2 linked regions of the Drosophila melanogaster genome follow. The protein of the gene in region 1 purifies or fractionates together with the protein of each later gene. This does not show direct contact. Each region holds a gene or a part of one and is shown in the gene's direction. Other genes may lie near its edges.

What was found.
Region 2: the proteins of CG11178 (region 1) and Pbp95 purify together in Drosophila melanogaster (affinity purification with mass spectrometry, with the first as the bait; one large-scale study listed by BioGRID). This does not show direct contact.

What each region holds. Positions count from the first base shown.
Region 1 is NC_004354.4:13,602,190-13,612,045, forward strand, and holds CG11178 (uncharacterized protein), read left to right. Parts: upstream 1-3,491; 5' UTR 3,492-3,582; intron 3,583-3,809; 5' UTR 3,810-4,255; coding exon 4,256-5,285; intron 5,286-5,493; coding exon 5,494-5,895; intron 5,896-5,962; coding exon 5,963-6,143; intron 6,144-6,211; coding exon 6,212-6,722; 3' UTR 6,723-7,340; downstream 7,341-9,856. Other genes in the region: Ndc80, read right to left, coding at 7,557-9,053, 9,122-9,506, 9,569-9,628, 9,691-9,776.
Region 2 is NT_033777.3:8,010,034-8,018,555, forward strand, and holds Pbp95 (PSEA-binding protein 95kD), read left to right. Parts: upstream 1-3,757; 5' UTR 3,758-3,804; coding exon 3,805-4,266; intron 4,267-4,377; coding exon 4,378-4,933; intron 4,934-4,993; coding exon 4,994-6,141; 3' UTR 6,142-6,577; downstream 6,578-8,522. Other genes in the region: CG3223 (uncharacterized protein), read left to right, coding at 1-86, 145-833; CG10435 (uncharacterized protein), read right to left, coding at 1,076-1,201, 1,262-1,684, 2,098-3,036; CG2747 (uncharacterized protein), read right to left, coding at 6,647-6,972, 7,407-7,427, 8,175-8,522.

The sequences.
Region 1 (9,856 bases):
TAAAATGTTATATAACACTAGGATTTTCCAATTCGTAACTTTCTTTTGTTGATGTTCGTGGTTCGTGGTTTATTCGCAAAGGATTCGGTTTTCTCGTTTTCGATAACTTTCTTTTCGTTTTTAGGCACACAAGTTTATTTTATATTTTCTTTTTATTTTTTTGGTGATGCAGCATTTGAAGGAGATGTGAAGCAGCAGTAGAGCAGAAACAGAAAAAAAAAAACTTACTTAGGGAGAAAAACAAATTGAATTGAAGTCCGAGCAGCTGACGTCGTAGGAGCGAATGCTGCGGTTCGACTAACCAAACTGACGATGAAAAGCGCTGCTACACGTTATGTTAAAGAATTTTTCGTCGCGTTCGCGGAAAAGCCATTTCCACGCACACACCGATCGCCTTTCTATATAGCCAATAGCTGGCCATGTGTGCGAGCAGGCCAGCGCTATATGCCACATATCGCTGGCCGATGTGGCAACAAGTGGGTGGTGGTGGGTGCGCCTGCCTGTGTTGGCTGTGTTCGATGTGTTTTGGGTGAATTTTTCAGGTGGGCTGCAGCTGAAACATAAACTTGTACACGCACACAGCCGCCGTCGAGTTTTCCAATTTTCCATTTTGGCCAGAGCGAGATGAGGCATACGATATTAGTATATACTATACATTAGACCATAATGGCGCACGCACATAACTAGATCATACAATAAGTATATAGCGCATACGGACGTTCGGTGCGTTGGCGGCATTTTACACATTTGTTTTTGGAATCAAATATCGTAGAGCATAAATTTCACAGCCATTAAAAAGTCGGCCTGCATATATTGCTCTATAATATATACGTACAGATGTTCGTGCCGATATATAGCACATATAGTTTGGATTCCTCAGCGGATCGTTGCAGCATTTGAACCCCAGAGTGCACGCCCTACAAAATCTCCAACCCAGTCCGCCGCGATCACCGATCACCCCCTATATATATATATATATATATATATATTTATTTACCTATATCTATATCGCGATCGAACTGCTGACGTCGAACGGCCTTAGGTGGCCCCATCGCATTGCCATTTGTCTAACACTTGAATCTATTCGTCATTGTTCCGATTTTCTTTTTTTATTTCTCTCCTTTTTCTATGCTATTTTTTTTATTTTACTTTCTAACAGATACTTTTGGCAAATAGTTTCAGATACACTTACGCGCCTTGCAGCACTTTAAGCTATCGAATTTAATTCATTCTTTATTGGGTTATTTTTTCGAAGCATACAAAATCAATTTGAAGAATTTGACAAAATCTCTTTTTCCTATATGTAAATTTTGCCAAAAAAATTAATTTTTTCATATCGTTTAATAAACATCATAACACATAAGAAATATTTGTATTAAGTAAGGGTAGTGAAACATATTTTGTTCTGTATTTAATTTTGTTTCTGTATTCTAGTATTAATAAAATTAAAATAAAGCAAAAACTTACAATATTTTAAAAATGTACTTTCATCAACATCGATTTCCGTTGTTTTTTTTTTTGCCAAATTTTTCATAAAATTAGATATAAATTCTAGAAGAATATAAAAAAAAAAAAAAATTTTTAGTTTTTCGCTTGCACTTGTATCTTCTTAAATTATTAATACTGCAAAAAAAAATATTTGGGCTATCTCAAAGTTCCTCAAAATCTGGGTAAAAATTTTTATACATACATGATTACATTATATATGATTACATTACATTATATTATGATTACATTACATTATATATGATTATAGAAAAATTAATTTAAGACTTCTCTTAATTCCTTGCATAAACAAGTTGTTCAAATAAATAGACTTCTGTGTAAATTAAAAACATGCGATGAATATTATTTTAAAATTATATATATTACAATATTCTCCAATAGTAAAATTACTATATAGTCGCAAAGTTTCGGCATTTGTTTTGATTTCGTTTTTGGTTACCAAGTATCTTAAATTTAGAACATTTTTGTATCTGCACCTCTGCGAAATGCAAAATGCACACACCAGATACGCAGATAGATAGATATGTATGCATAGATAATTAGATATGTATGTGTATGTGATATGTATGGGTCTAGGTATTATGCATGGCTTGCCAAAAACCACAAAACTACAGAATCGCAATGGGACACAGGTGGGCAGTTCGAGTTATCTGGGATTTAGTGCATGAAATGGTACGGGCGTGTTCTGTCCAGATATAAACGACATCTGTAAGCGCTTTTTTAGCTGCTTCCAATTTTTGCCTGCCATCTGGCTGGATTCACATAACATCCTCCGTTCAATAAACAACTACGAACCTATTGCAAACATCGGGCCAAATAGCTCAGTGATCCGTAGACCAGAAGTACGGACATGTGCAGATATATACATATGTGGGCGTGAAAGTGGGTGGAAAGTCGGGTATGCCGTATGCCGTATTCAAGTAAATTTCAATTCGCATCATCTTCTGAATGTCCGAATATCAGAATGTTAGAAAGGCAAGTCAGAATATTCGAAAATCAGGGAATAACAAATAGCACAGTTTCGAATTTTTGTTGTTCTATTTTTGGACGTTTTGTGTGGGCGCTATTCGTCTGTAGCCTTCGGTTTTTAGTGCCGATCGTATGCACGAAGATGCCCGATATAAAAAATATATATATATATATATATATATTAAAGTATGTATATGTATTTGTTTAAATATCTTCTATATGTCTATCTATAGGTTAGCTTTCTGGGGCGATGTTTACGGGGAACTGTGGCTAATATCTGCATAGATCAGGAATAACATAAACATTATCCAAGATCTGGAAAAATATTTGATTTCAGACAAGAACGATGGCCCTGGGATTATATGAATGAACAGCGTATCCAAAGTGTCGAATAATTTGAATTGATTGCAATCGGTGCAATCTTAAATAATAAGCTATTGTTGGCTGTGTCACTTGCATTTTTTTTCTACTGTGTATGATGCAAGAAAACAGTTAAAATTCTGAAATATGTTCTTTTCAATTTTAGATTTTAGTGACCAGAATAGTAAGAGCTTCCTATTATAAACTTAAATGTATTTAACACATTAAATCAATGCACTTTCCAGTTTAAAGTTAAAATATATAATTCATAAACTTTTCAATGAATAAGATCAGGTCAAGCAAACATATTTTGTAAAGAACAAACAAGCGATGTGTGCCAATTTTAGAATCTATATGTTGGATGTTCGATTTAAAAATACGCTCTAACTAAATTAAATGAAATGAAAACAGACCAATTAAAAAAAGCAAAAAAAAATTGGGGAAAAGGAAACAACGGAAAAATCCATAAGAAAAAAGACACATAGAAGAAACCCCAAGATGAAAACAGCAGAAAATATAAAAACGTTTAAGAACAGAGCCATCATACACAGTCTGGCTATATAGTACCTAATGCTCCGTCTACTATATGTATAGTATTACACGTTTATTTTCAGAATTTGTTTTTGACTTAATTTTCGGCTTGTTGACACTTGGAAATGTGTATCAGTAGTCAAGCCAACAAAATCGCGACTAAAACCAAAATGTTACAACTATTTCAACATACTCGTAATGATAGTTTCGATTTTGGTAAGTTGGATGATGCTTACGGGTATTTTTGTATAAAAGTAAATACATTTTTTTACCATGCATTAATTCTGATCTCGTGAAACTTGTAACTTCACTCATTAAAATCAAAAAATTTAATTATCCTTTTTTTCTGAATAGTATTTTATCTTGTATTTAAAGTAAATATATTTCTTGTATTGTTTCTTAATAAAGATTAATGAGATACAAAAACAAATTACACTGTGAAGTTTTATTTTCGTTCATATTAGCGTGATTCTAATTCTTCAATGGTTATTTCAAATTCAAAAGTAACCGCCAATTTTCGTACTGGTGTAGTCGATAATGCCGTTGGTCGAAGCGAAACATATCGATAACCGGCAAATGCACATCTAATTGGAGTACAAAATAACGCCTCCTGATATCGATACGCTATCACAAACAAGAAAATAGAATAAAAACAAAATCGCTTGGAAATCGTAAAGAAAGAAAGTTAAATACGACAGATAGATAATTGCAACACAAAATAAGTGCGCCGTGGTCCGAATAGAACAACAATTGCGTGGCGTGGTTACACGAGTGCGAGCGAGAGGGCCGATGTGGTAGTGGCCAATCCAATTGGATATTCATTTTGCAGGCAAAAAACGCATTTTTTGTGGACACCGCTTGCTCCTTGGTACAAGGATAACGACCAACGATGGCCAGCGAGCCGGAGAACAAGCCACCGATCCTGCACATCCTCGTGGTGGGCTTCCACCACAAGCTGGGCTGCCAGGTGGAGTTCTCGCATCCGCCGCTAATCTCGGGCTCCACGGGACGCAACGAATGCCCCTCCGGCTGGAAGTACCTGCCCACTCTGGCTCTGCCCGACGGCTCGCATAACTTTGCCGAGGACACGGTGTTCTTCAACCTGCCCAGTTTGTATGAGCCGGCTGAGAGTATCTACGGCGTGTCCTGCTATCGCCAGATACGCGTGGAGAAGCTAAAGATCCGGACAGCGGACCTCACGCGCAGCACCGTTCAGAAGTCCGTTTGCATATTGGCCCGCCTGCCCATCTACGGGTACATCGAGGTGAAGCTAGCCCTCATTGCCGATGCCTTTTTCGATCAGGGCGACTTCTCCGGCACGGAACTGCTGGCCAAGGCCTATCAGCAGCTAAATGCCTGCCTCCAGGACGACGAGTCGCGCCGCCCGTTGCGCCACTTTCACGTGGGGCTGTCGCTGCGCGAGATCGTACTCCACTGGCGCCACAAGACGCTAATGCTCTTCAAACTAATGCTGCTGCAGCGACGAGTGGTGTGTTTCGGTTCGCCCGTACGCCAAATGTGTGTGCTGATCCTGGGCATGGCATCGCTGGTGCCGCGGCTGCTGGAGAAGGGCTTCCAGGAGGTGGCCTGTGTGCGCACGTCGCGTCCCCTGTCGCCCATGCCGGATTTCACTGACTCCCTGCAGCGGGAGGCGCAGGCCGAAGCCGAAGCGGAACTGGAGGCAGTGGCTTCCGTAGCAGCTGCCACCGATGAGCAGAAACTGACGCCCGAGAGCGCCACAGCGGTGGAGGGCGAGGCCGAAGAGCTGGCCCTCGTCTCATCCGCAGCGTCGGCGGGCGAGGAGCAGGTCAGTGGCGATGACACGTCGACGCGTTCCACGCCCAACTCACAGTCGCAGGACTCATCGAACGGCAGGAACAGCTCGCTGACCAGAGAGGCCAGCGTGGACACACTAGCGTGTGAGTAGCCCAAGAAGTCTATCCCCGTGTTTGGCGTAACTAGCAGATTTAGGCACATTTTAGTCAATTGTAACCTTTGTTATTGCGTTTATTCTTATACATATCATGCCATATAAGTGAATCATTCTAGATAGGAGATAGGAGCGTGCAGACATTAAATATTACGTATGACGCAGTTAACTGATCCGTGTAAATGTTTCGTCCATAGCCAACCTCGCCGCCTTGTGCGCTGTCAATCCGGATGAGTATCGGGCACCGGTCAGCATCTTCGCCAGCGGCAACCTCTGCCTGCCGTATCTGTCGCTACCGTACATGGACCTGCTCAGCGATCCCATGGTGCTCTCCTATGTCATCGGCACCTCCAACGTGCTTTTCCAGCAGAAACGTCAGCTGGCTGACGTCCTGGTGGACATCGAGGCGGCCAATCTGGATGCCCACGATCCGGAGCTCAGGCGTCAGCTGGTGCTGAGCACCGAGGATCTGCGCTACATGGACTACATCATGAAGCATGTGCAATCGCCAAAGGAGGATGCCGAGGGCAGCGAGTACTGGATACGGGAGCAGTTTCAGGGCTATATTCTCGCACTCTTGCGAACTGCTGTGGCTCCAGGTGTGTGCAATCTTTGTTAGCTTTTAGTTGAACCATCAAATGTAAATGTAAATTTGTTTGTTTACAGATGCCACGCCAAAGGACAACGATCATTTCAATGCGCACTTCATGGGCGCCTTCAAGCGCACCCAATGCTTTCAGGAATGGTACGACGTTAGGCCCGAACCCGAGTTCTTTGAGGCCCTGCCCGCTGGTCATCCCTTCGCCGGCACCTTGTCCGTGGCGGACATGAAACTAAAACTAGCACAGTAAGCGGTTAAAATCCTGAAATCCATACCGAAGGGGAACTAAGTTTCTAAACACTTGAAATTTGCAGAACCATGCAAAATAGCGAGAGTGGGCGAAAAATCAACCAGGCGGTAAACACGACGAGTCGTGCAGTGGGCGGTGCCATATCCCAGGCCAAGGGCGCCTTCTCCAGCTGGTGGTCATCCATCACGACGGCCCCGCCCAATGCAACAAATGCAGGGCCTGCGACCAGCAGCTCGAATGGGCAGGAAGGGGATGTAAGCGAAGGAGCTGCAGCCCAAGAGATCTCAGTTACATTCCAGAATCATAAGGACGTCGAAGACCTTGACGTGGCGGGAGTCAGCATCCACCTGGCTGGCCAGGAAGAGGCACACGAGTCGCACGAGTCACAGAGCGTCAGCTGCGACAAGCCGCAAGGCATCGTCGAGATTGGACGCGAGGCGGAGCTGTTGGACAAAACTGCGCAATCGGAGGAGCCCAAGATTGCGGCTGCAAGCCAAGCCGGTCGGCCAGGATGTGGCGGCGATGTGGCCACCTCGGCCGTGGAGCGCAGCAGTGGCGATGTCTTCATTGTCTGAGGACGTTAGCACTATCGGGGTCATTGTATAGAATTGAACTAAGCTAAATGATATTTATTTATTACACAACATATTGTCTCAGTCTCAATGTTGAATTTATAACTACTACTCGAACTTCCCCCCTATTTTTTTGTATACCCATACATATTCTGTAGTTGGTTGACTTGTGGTACACAGAAACCTAGGATTTATGATCGAGCGACAATATACTATGAGATACATCACTACTAATTGAAATAATACCTCATTTTCGTTTATTTTAAGCCCAAAAATGACAAAATATATATCTACGAATACGAAAAAAGCGCACACAAATGAAATATCCAAATTAATTAATTTAATAGCAATAAATGCAAACGTTTCCCTGCAACTTTTTTGTGGCACAAGTCAATCGCACGCTAAACTACACAAAATTGGCCAAATGATAATATTATTTAATATTTATAGATACCTACGCTTAAGTTACCCTTGCCGTATTTACCCACCACTCAGTGTATACATATGTATAACCATGTAAAGCTAAACCGTTCCAAGTGCAATTTGTAATCCCAAAAAAGGCAGCGGAGATCCGTAATGAAATCCGTAATACGTGTGGCAATAAAGAACTTAAGAAATCTGATATTATGGAGTATCATCCCCTCCTTTGTCCAGGAACCGCTGTGTTCAACTCAATTTACCTAATTCAAATGTAATCAAAAATAAATGCATTTCATAAAACATAAAACATTGAACATTGCAGACAGCTTCATTGTCTTTTTTAATTTGAAAACAAAGAATACTCTTTAATAAATTCCTTACAGATCAACTGGACTACAACAAAACATCCGGATCAAATCAATGATTCTTGATGGCATCTAGCACGGGCTGAAAGGATGGCAGCTTGGCGGAGTACACCTTTTGCTCCACCTCGTTCAGCTTGGCCTGAGTCGCGTTGACCTTTGATTCCACGGCGAGCAGCTGGTCCTCCGCTTTGGCCAGCTTCTGCTCGCATTTTTCCAGGCGATCTTGGCGGGCCTTGAGATCCTGCTCCTGAAACTGCTCAGCAGCGGTGAGTAGATCCTCGTTCCGTTGCTTGCTGGCTTCCAGCTTTTCCAGCGCCTGCTTCTCCCTCTTCTCCAACTCATCCAGACGGGCGGTCTGGTCGTACTGATCCTCGAGCAGCTGTTGCCTGTGCTGCGCCTGCATGTCGCGCTTGGTCCGATAACTGGCCTCCATTTTGGTCAGACGCTGTTTCTGCGCCCGCAACTGAGAGTCCATGGTGGCGATTTCGGTGTCTAACTCGATGGAATCAGACTTTACCTTGGCCACCTGCTTGTCCAACATCTGACGCCGATCGATATTCTGCTGGCGGTGCTGTTGCAGAAGTTTGCCCAGCAACTCCAGGCACTGCACCCTCTCCGAGATGTCCTCTTGATTGGGATTTAGTGGCAGAGTAAGGTCCGATTGCTGGCCAATGCCGCTCTTTATCAGGCCACAAATCACCGGGTCCATGCTCAGGTGGCGCACGTGCGAGTTAAAGACCTCAACGGAATCCAGTTGCTTTTGCTTGGCGCGCGACAGCATCACCTGCTGATGCAGCTCCAGCTCGGACACCTCCTTCACCTGGCGCTCATAAGCCTTGGAGTAGTTTTCCATATCGTCGCACTTCATTTGAAGCTCCTTTAGCTGCTGGGCGGAGAACTTCTGCCTGTTAACCGCCTGCTCCAGACGCTTTTCATACTTCATTTGCTGGCGGAGATTAGACTGTTTTTCTTCTACCTGGGCAGACAGCTGTTCGTATAACTTCAGTTTCTTGATCAGCTCCTCTTCACTGGCAGCTAGCTGTTGGGCAAGCTGATCGTGCTCTTTGGTAAGACGTTCCAGTTTGTTCAGTTTATTGTCTTCACTGGGATCATGCAACTTATTCTCCAGTTGCTGTAGTTTCGTCTTCAGATCGCCGATTAGCTGGTCTAAGGCTTTGCGATCGGGCAAATCACACTTCTTGCTGATCACCTGATCCCTGGTCTCCGCCTGCAGCTTGGCCTCCTCATTGGTAAGCTCCTGATCCCACAAGGCAATGCATTTGCTAGCCTCTTCGAAGAGCAGACCATTGACGTCTTCATCTAGCTGAATGGCGTGCGCCTGTGTGGTGGACATGATGGTCGTCGACTCGCAGTGCATGCTATTCAGATACGAGCTGGGCTGCTCCATGGTTTCCATAAACGGAAACTCCTCCTCCACCACATCCGACGAGGGCAGAGGCGGTAAAAAGTCCATGAGAAAGTCCAGCAGAACGATCACATGGCCGAATGAATGCTGTGTTGTTGGCGATACAAGCCATGATTTGTTCACCTGCAAGTCACAAGTGGATTTAAGAATTAAACGAACACTGGAAACCTAAGAGCATCCGAGTTGCTTACCTGATAAGGATACTGTAGCTTTTGCATTGCGCTGGTAATATCCTCGACATGGTTCTGGCCCACTGTCACGCGATTTCGCCAGATGTGGTGGAACATAAAGTTGAGAATGGAAACAAATTGCTTGATGGTCATGTGTCGCAAACCCCCGGGCCGACTGAATAGATCCGCAATAAGTCCAGTGGGCGCCTCGCTGTTCTGAATGCCATGTAGGTATTCCAGGATCTGCTGTGCCCTCTCCGCCACCCATTTCTTGTCGGAGTGTGGCGCAATGGCGCGCTCCGCAGTGGAGGGCACAAACCGGTGGCCTCGCTTGGGCGTCACGCCCATTTGACTGGCCCGATCGCGCTCCAAGTTCAGCGGCTGCGGCAGACGCGATGCGGACGGCCTATGCGGATTGGATTCAAACATTACTGGTTGTGCCTTCGATAATCAAATGGTTGTGCATACCTTCTGGGTGCCGCCTGGCTGGAGGACGGAGTGTGCGTGGCTGCGCTCCGCTTTGTTGCCCTGGAAAAGGATACGCATTTGCATCGTTGACAAGATTTGATCAGTTGGATTTCGATGCTCACCTGGTTTGCCGCTTATCGGCAGTGCCTCGCTCCTCCAGTACATCGCCACGGAACTCGCTGGTCCGCCGGGGCATCAGGTGCGACATCTTGGCGTTATTGAAACTACGTTGATTAAATTAAATGTTTACTCAGTTTGATTGGGAATCGCGCGTCGTTTAACGCCTGT
Region 2 (8,522 bases), on another chromosome or scaffold:
AGATTATCCCCTCATCTGCGAGGCCGCTCCATTCATAGTGGACACCATTCGCAAGGAGCTAGCCAGAAATAGCTCGGCCACGCAGTGTAACTAATGCCGTATCTATTCTTGATTTGTATATTTTACCCGTTTCTTCCTTTTTAGTGCAGGAGCAAGCTGCTTCGGAGTCTACTACTTCGTCAGAGGAGGAAAACTCTCTGGGTGCAGGCAGCAGCAGCAGTGGTGGAAGCAGCAGCACAGCCGTGGCAGCTGCCGCGGCCGCCAATCGGCGTGATGAGATGGCCAACATCCGTCAGATTAGCCGCCAGCAACTGGCTAACGCATTGGCTAACGTGACCCCGTTTAATTCACTGTCGAATATTGCGCAGAGAAACGCGGACGAGGCCGTGCAGGGTGATGAAAGACCTAGAACCACCTCGGCGCCATTAGCAGGCGTTGGAGGAGCAGCGGGAACAGGCGCAGGAAGCAGCAGTGGAGCCATCAGCAGCGGATCCATATCCTCAGAGTTGCTCCGCAACGAGCTGGCCCGCGCTTTTCAGTCCCTGTCGCAGGATCAACCGGCGCCTGTGGAGAACATGGAGGTGGAGTCCGGAGAAGGACCAGTACCAGAGCAAGCCGCCACAGCACCAGCCGATGATGTAGATGACGAGGACGATGGTGGAGACGACAGTGATGTGCTGCCACGCCGCTACCGTCGCCATCGGTTCACCGAACAACTGCGTACCATGGCCGCCATGGGCTTCATTAATCACACTCAGAACGTTAGTTATCTAGAACTTTCCGATGGGAATGTGGAACACGCTATTAATCTGCTTATGCTGAGCATGAATTAATAAGGATCGGAATTGACTAAAAAGCCAACATAATGTGCTTACTTTACGGACTTATATTTATTCTGCTGCTGAGGATTCTGAAGCATTAAACTCCCAACTTAAGCAAGGAATATCTCTTAATAACTTTTAATAATTAAATATACGTTTAGAGGAGTCATCTTTGTAAGCTAATTGGGGTGGGATTGCGGAGTTTGGGCATGGGGGTAAAAGCCGGCCGTACAAAAGGTTTCCACTAAATTATACTAGTTGATTAGATAGTCCAGCGCCTTGTCCTTATTATTGTTGAACTTGAGTAGCGCCGCCGAGATTTTCGATTCGTCAAAACCGAGGTCCAGAAGTTCTCCCAGTGGAATAAGGTGTTCGATAATCTGAAAAGACGTCCCAGATCGGAATAATGCATTTTGCAAAAGTTTTCGAAACTGACTTACCTTCTTATCGTCGATACCGCATAGACTAACCACCTTTGCCACCCGTTCCAGAGGGAAACCCATAGTACTGATACGTTGGGCCAACTTCTGTGCCGGACCAGCCAGCTCCCTAAAGGAGTTTCTGTCCACTGCCAACTCCACCGTTGGCTGCTGCTCCGCGTTGTGACTGTGCAGGCGGGTACGACGCTTCTCCGCCTGCTGCAGCTCCGTCTTCAGCTCCCGCAGGATGTCAGGCACACTCCTTGACTTCGTGGCTACCTCGTCCTCCGACTGGCTGAGCGCATGCACGGAGGAAGGCGCTGGAGGAGCCTTCAAAAGGTTTTGAGTCCCGAATCCATTGACTTGGTAGTTGCTAAACTGTTGGAAAGAATGCTGCTGCGGAGGGTAGAAGGGCTGGTGACTGTAGCCCTGCATGTGGTACACCTGCGAAAATAATAATTAGCCCATATTTTAAATCGGAGCGTCTGAAAAAAACTTATTTTCGATTGAAATAAAATATTGGGTATCGGACTAATACTTGGTTTATAAGACCATGCTAAGATCGTACTCAAGCTCAGTCAAAATATATTACACCCTCAATTGTGGTACTAATTAGTTTGAGCAATAGCCCCACCCTCGACTTGTGATGAGTTATTTATTTTTAGGTAATCTACCTGCAAATGCTCAGAAATCATCCCGATTAAATGGTATACTGTGAGTGAATGAACAATTTCCTCTTTTATTACAATTTAATGAGTAATGAGGATTGGATTTTGAGAATACAAGGATAGTGTGACATTCAAAAGAATCAAGTTAACATATTATTAAGGCTCTTTAACTAGTTAAAAGTGTCCCACCTGAAAGTGTTCCGGTTTATGCAACGGCTGCTGGGCGGAAGCGCTGTACATGGGCGTTAGGTATTGAGCCGTGGTTGGAATGTGGCTTGGCTCGCCCCTGTCCGCATTATCATCACAGTGAACATGGAAATTGACGCTGTCGAGCGTCGCTTTGGTCTCCGCCAGCGTAGTCATTGCTAGCTCCACCGGAGCTGGCACTTCATTGCCAGATTGCTCCTCCTTGGAATGATCCTCATGCGGCGGCTCCTGCTGCTGCTGATCCTGCTGCTGTTGATCTATGCGCTTCTCCAGCTGTGTCTGGTGCAGAACCTGAGCTAGTATGTCTAGATCGTTGATGGTCTTCAGCTCGATATTGTCGAAAGGTGTGGAGTTCATATTGTACTCAAAGTCTGCGTAGTTTAGGGAGCTGTTACGCTTGTGCAGCGTCTGCGGACTGACCACTGGAGTGGTGCTCAGAATGGTGGGCTGCAAGATATTGTGAAAATTACACACACTTATTGACTTTGGTTCGTGGGAAGAGTCGCGTGACTCAGCGGTGATTGGAGGTGGTGGCTGCTGTTGCTGTTCCTCGTCCCTCTGCTCGGGCTCGTTCTTCTTTCGCTCCTTCTCGTCCTCATCCGATGACAAGTCGTCCGCACTAGGATAATCAACTGCTCCAAGCATCTCCTTCTGTCTCGCCTCCAGCGCCCGTTGGCGTTCCTCCTTGCGACGCTCCTGGCGACTGGCTCGCTCCTCGCGCTGCTGGCGACGCAGGTGGCGCCATCGTTGCGCCTGACTCAGCACGGCCCTCTCCAGCTGACAGTCATACTGGTAATCCGGATGATCCGTGTAGAAACCTTCTCGGAATTGCGACAGGCGATTGAGGGTCGCCTGCGGCAGGTGGTACACGGCAGGCGGTGGTTTGTAGCGCTCGACTATCTTGACCGGGACATCTTCCATGTTATGCTAGCGCATTCACCACGAATTTTGTTAATTAAGTTGCTACTACGCGTTTTTTTTTCTCTGTTCTCTTTTGTTGTTTCTCGAGCAGCAGCGATAGGCGATTGGTATTGTCATCGGTCACTGCTGATTCGCCAATTTCGACTAGTGTTGAATATCGTTTTTCCTTGAGATGCTCACCTAATTAGGTGTACTCAGGCTTGGTTGCGAGTTTGACAACAGCTGATATTAAATCTACCCAAATTTTCGCCAATTTGAGGGCGTATGAAAGGCTTAACAAAAATCGGAATACATTAATAGTTTCTACAGATCACGTTATACAACATAAAAAAATTAAAATTACAAAACATTTTGACATACTAAATATTTTTTGTTACCAAGGGTATCATTATTTAGTGCATGGCGGATAGTTTTAAGATCTTTATTCTAAAAAACTATTTTTGACCAAACTTTTGTTTAAAATAATCCCGCGCTTTTACAACTGAGTTTATTGAAATCATGTTCTTTCCACTAGATAAAACCAAAGTTTCTGGGAATAAATAAGGACGAAAAATGGCAGTTATGATATCTATTTTATCTCTATCTATTCTTTAATAGGTCTTAGTCCAATAATACAGCAATTTCCTATGTAATGTTCAATGTTACTTTATTTGCAGGGTATTAATTTGCTTAATGCAGTTCGACCATTGCAACCATTTTATCGATAGTTGATGCCGGGAATAGTTCATCGCTAAAGTCAAAGGCAATGTAAACAAAACAACCTGAGCAATGGACGATGCCGATGATCTGCGCATAAACCAGCAGCAGCTTATGGACGAGATTTCGGCCCTCTTGCAGAACACAGCGAAGCCGAGCGCCGCCAACGCACTGCAGCTGAATCAGGAGCTCCAGCGCCGGCTCATGCAAGTCCGGACCAAAATTCTGGCCATGTTACAAGTAGTAAGGGCCCGCTTCTCTCGGAACGAGGACATCCTGGTGCGCCGGCTGCGACCTCGTTCCCATTTCGGCCCGAATTCCCTCAATCTTAGCGGGGCGATCCTGCGGAAGGGCACGTTTCGCTTCAAGGGCAACCTGTTTTTCCGAGACATCGATGGTCGAAGCTGTCCTAACAACGAGGATTACGAGGCGCGGTGCCACACGGAGATGTTTCCCACCGACTTTGACATGCACTCCAGACATGTATGGACATTGCTAGACAAAAAGAATGTGATAATGGGTATAAAACAACAGGTGAGTGGACCCTTCGAGTGGTTCAGATTGATTGCCAAATACCCATTTAATAGCAATGAAAAGTTAAATAGCAATACTAATATTCTGTTTTATAAAAAACTCAATTCTCAGTTACTGGAGCATAGGGCCCACAGTACGAATGCGCTGCCCAGCGGAAGCCTGAAGCGCAAGCCAATCGAGCGACACTTAAGTACACTGGTAAGTCTGCTGGCAACTGCGGATAGTAGCTTCAGCATCGACTGGAACCAGATCAGCACCCTGGACTTGGAATATCGGCACTCACCATATAGCTGTGAGGCAATGTGGAGGGTCTACTTAACACCAGATCTCAGGCGAGACGATTGGTCACCCGAGGAGGACGAAACTTTACTGGCGGTGGCCACTGCGAACAGGATGCAGAACTGGGAGTTGATAGCCGCGTCGCTAGACCGACGTTCCGACTATCAGTGCTTCGTACGCTTTCATACCGCCCTACGTTTTCTGCTGGAGCCAAAGAACAGCCACCGCTGGAGCGAAGAGGACAACGATAAACTAAGGGCGATCGTTGATAGGAATACGGCAAACAGTGTAATAAACTGGAAAAAAGTCGTGGAATACTTCCCGGACAAGTCCAAATCAACGCTGATTGGTCGTTACTACTACGTGTTGCATCCTAGCATCAGTCACGGTAGGTACCCAATATATTGAATAATTTTTAATTTATTATTTCGCTCCTTTGAAACTGCAGAACCCTTCACTACCAAGGAGGACATGATGCTGTTCGCCGCCGTTGAAGAGTACAATGGAAAGTTTCACTGTTTTCCGCGTTCTCTTTTCCCAAACCGGTCGTTAACCCAACTCCGAACTCGCTACCACAATGTACTGGCACAACGCAACAAGACCGACTCCTGGTCCGTTCAGGACGACACACGGCTGATGAGCTTCGTAACGCAATACGGGGCTTCCCAGTGGCTTAACTGTGCCACGTTCTTGGGCAATCACACGCGGACCAGCTGTCGAACCCGCTTCCTAGTCATCAAGAAATTCCTTGAACAAAATCCCAATGCAAAAGTGGAAGACCTGCCACGCCGCCGATCGAAGAAGGTGTCCTTGGTTAACTCTGATAACTGGGCGCAGCGTTTGCAAGAGTGGCAAGAGGACCCAGAGTCATTAGTTAATGATAACCCCCCGAAAGGAACTCGGGTGCGCGGTCCCAAATCGAAAAAGGCTAGGATCGAGCGACAGGCAGAGAGTTTCTCAAGACTTTCGAAAGTTGATATAGAGTTCTGCAACTTCTTTAAGTTTAGTTATAATCTGACGCTGAGCACTCCAAAAACTTTTCCAGTTCCAAAAGACGTTTATAACCTTGCCTACGTGATCAGAGCTCTTGCATATAAGCCACCAATTCGACCCTCGCTCTTACAAAACATATTTATGCCAAATGATGTGCTTAAGTGCTACAACAGCATGATCCGAAACCTTCCGGACGAGGAAGGTGATATGAAGAGCCCACTTTTGCCACCCAACTGGTCAACTATGATGGGGTTTCGAGCCTTATGCATTCTTTCCGGAGATTGTCGCAAGGATACGGAAACACGTAGCTTCGAATACAATGAATCTTTACCACCCATCCAGCTTTTCCGCAAGCGGTTGCAAGCTCTTTTCTATCGTACCACTCTTCTCAGCCGCTTGGAATCACAACTCTTTACGGACTTACCATCAGCATTAGTTTCTTTACCACGCCCCAAACACGATTATGCAAAAATGGGTACACATGTTGAATTAATCGATCCAGAGCCGGCACCACAGAATGATCTAAAATCCGAGCCGCTTAGCGAGAATGAAGTGATTAATACAGTCAAGCAGGAATTGGAAATGGAATATACAGTTCCATAGGAACTAATAAGTAAATATGTAATATTGATTAATTTAAGCTTTAAAAGTTTATATTTTTTACTTCATATCGCGTTATATAATAGTTCATTACAATGGCTAACAAATAATTTATAAACTTGTAGGTACTTTTAACGTATTTCACATACAGCAAAATCAAATGCCGGACCGATGTGCATTAGGGTGGCTCATTTTTCTGATTGTAGTTTAAAAATATTGCTTAGGTTTGAAAAAAGGTATATTTATAGCAAAACGCCCTGCAAAACGAAACAATTTAATACACAAGCAGTCAAAAAAACTAATGTATATTTTAGTTGCCGTTTTACAATCCTTTCAAAACTTTTATCCCGGATATTTAGTTATTAGAGCAAAATTGTCTAAACCTTATTTTCAATATAAAAAGAACCGATCCATCCTATTGTTCATGCGGTAACAATGTATTACAAAGCATTTTTATGATAGCACTAGCAGCTTGAGAACTATTTTGTTCGATTCCCGGGGGAGGCGCTCATTGGAAGTTACTGAAATCCGTCTTCAGCTTGATCGTAGGCTTCTGCGGCTTGGCCAGCAGGTTCCTCTGCGCCTCGCTTGCTTTTTGGGCAATGTTAATCGACTGCTGTTGGCTGCGAATGGCCGCTTCTAGTTTTTGTCGCAGTTCCGGTGTTTGACCCATCAGGGCCTTAAACTCCTGCGGATATTTCGGACCGATCTTCAGTAGCCACTGCAGCGCCTGGTCGTGCAGCTGCCGTTGATACTTTGGCAGCGTCCGGAGTCGACTGGGTTCCGCTAGGAAGCCAATGAGCACAGGGACCAACAGAGTCAGCATCTGAATATCTGTGAAGTGTGGACAAGGAACAATTAATATTATAATCCTAAGTTTAAGGGCTTGCTAAACGGAACATCAATTCACAGAGATGGACAAGTCGCTTCATCCCGTACTTTTACTTCATACGTGCAACATTTAAAGCGTAATTTTAATTGACAACAAGAACTAGGAACTATGCTATGGATTGGTGCATTGAAAAACATTGAGTGTGCAATAAACGTTGCAATTCATGACTATAAGGCAGTTAAGATAACATAAATAAAAAAACGAATAGAATGTTCATATTTAATGGTAGGAAAATAATTTCATTTCCATTTAGCAGACCGATGAAAAAGGAGTAAATTTACAACGCGTGTGTAAGTGTGAACAGTTATGCCTTATATTTCTGAAACGCTTTTTTGACATGAAACGTGTGAGTTTATGATCGAGCTCTTCTATTTACCTTGTAGCAAGTTCATGTTTCCTAACGTTTTTTTTTAAATATTATTTTTTTTAATGTTTTGTAAATGATTTGTGATTTGATAAAAAGAGAAGACAGAGAAAAGAGCAAATATATAATAACTTATTTCGTTTTCCCTTCCCATCGTGTGAAGTTTAAAATGAATGTACTTAAACCAATACTTTGGCTGCGTTCGAAGATATATTTGAAGAAAACAGATCGATACGACAGAACAGCCTAATTATGTTGGAAAGGGGAGTGTGTTAACTATTAAGGCGGGTAAGGGGGAACTGCTAGAACTATATTCTAAAATGGGGTACTCCTGCACCAAATGAAAGTTATGTCGAATTTTATCCTTTCTAGTCACAATTTAACATTATTCGAAGAAGTCCTTATAATCAATCAATGATCAATTTTTATTAGTTAGCAATCATTTAATTATGATATAGTCGAGTTCCTGGACTATTTAATATCCGTTAGACACGTATGGACACGGCCAAGTAGATTTGCCTTCTGATACTGAAAAAAAATGTATACACTTTATAGGGTCGAAAACGCTTTCTTCCACCTCTTTCATACTTTTCACTATTTTCCATGAATTATAATTCCAAATATATCCCTCCTAAATCCAAAGGTATAATTATTTAATCTAGTTATATAACATAAACAAAAACACGTTCTTAAGGTTAAGTATTCTTTCTCAAACAGGAGTACCCCGAGATTTAAAGAAGGACCAAGCTTAATGATTTTCAAATACAACCAGTTACTTACGGTTCTGCGGCTCCGACAAGTCTATAAGCTGCTCCACGGTAACGATGCTCTCCAGGGTGACCTGTAGCTCCAGTTCGCTTGTGGGCACCTTGCTGGACTCCGCATACAACGATTCGATTATCCTAGGCGCAAGTGCGTGGATGTAGGGTGTTGCCGTCTTCAATTCGGCCCGAGCGAAGATCGATCGCGTGGTCTCGATGCAGCGCAGCTTCACCGAGAGGTTCTCCGACTGCAGGCACTGCCGGAAGTGATTAATGCATGGATATTGCAATGAAGGTGTAGCCACAACGGAGGCGGGAGTATGTAGAATAAAAACAGTGATGGCCAGCAGCATAGTGACCTCGTCGA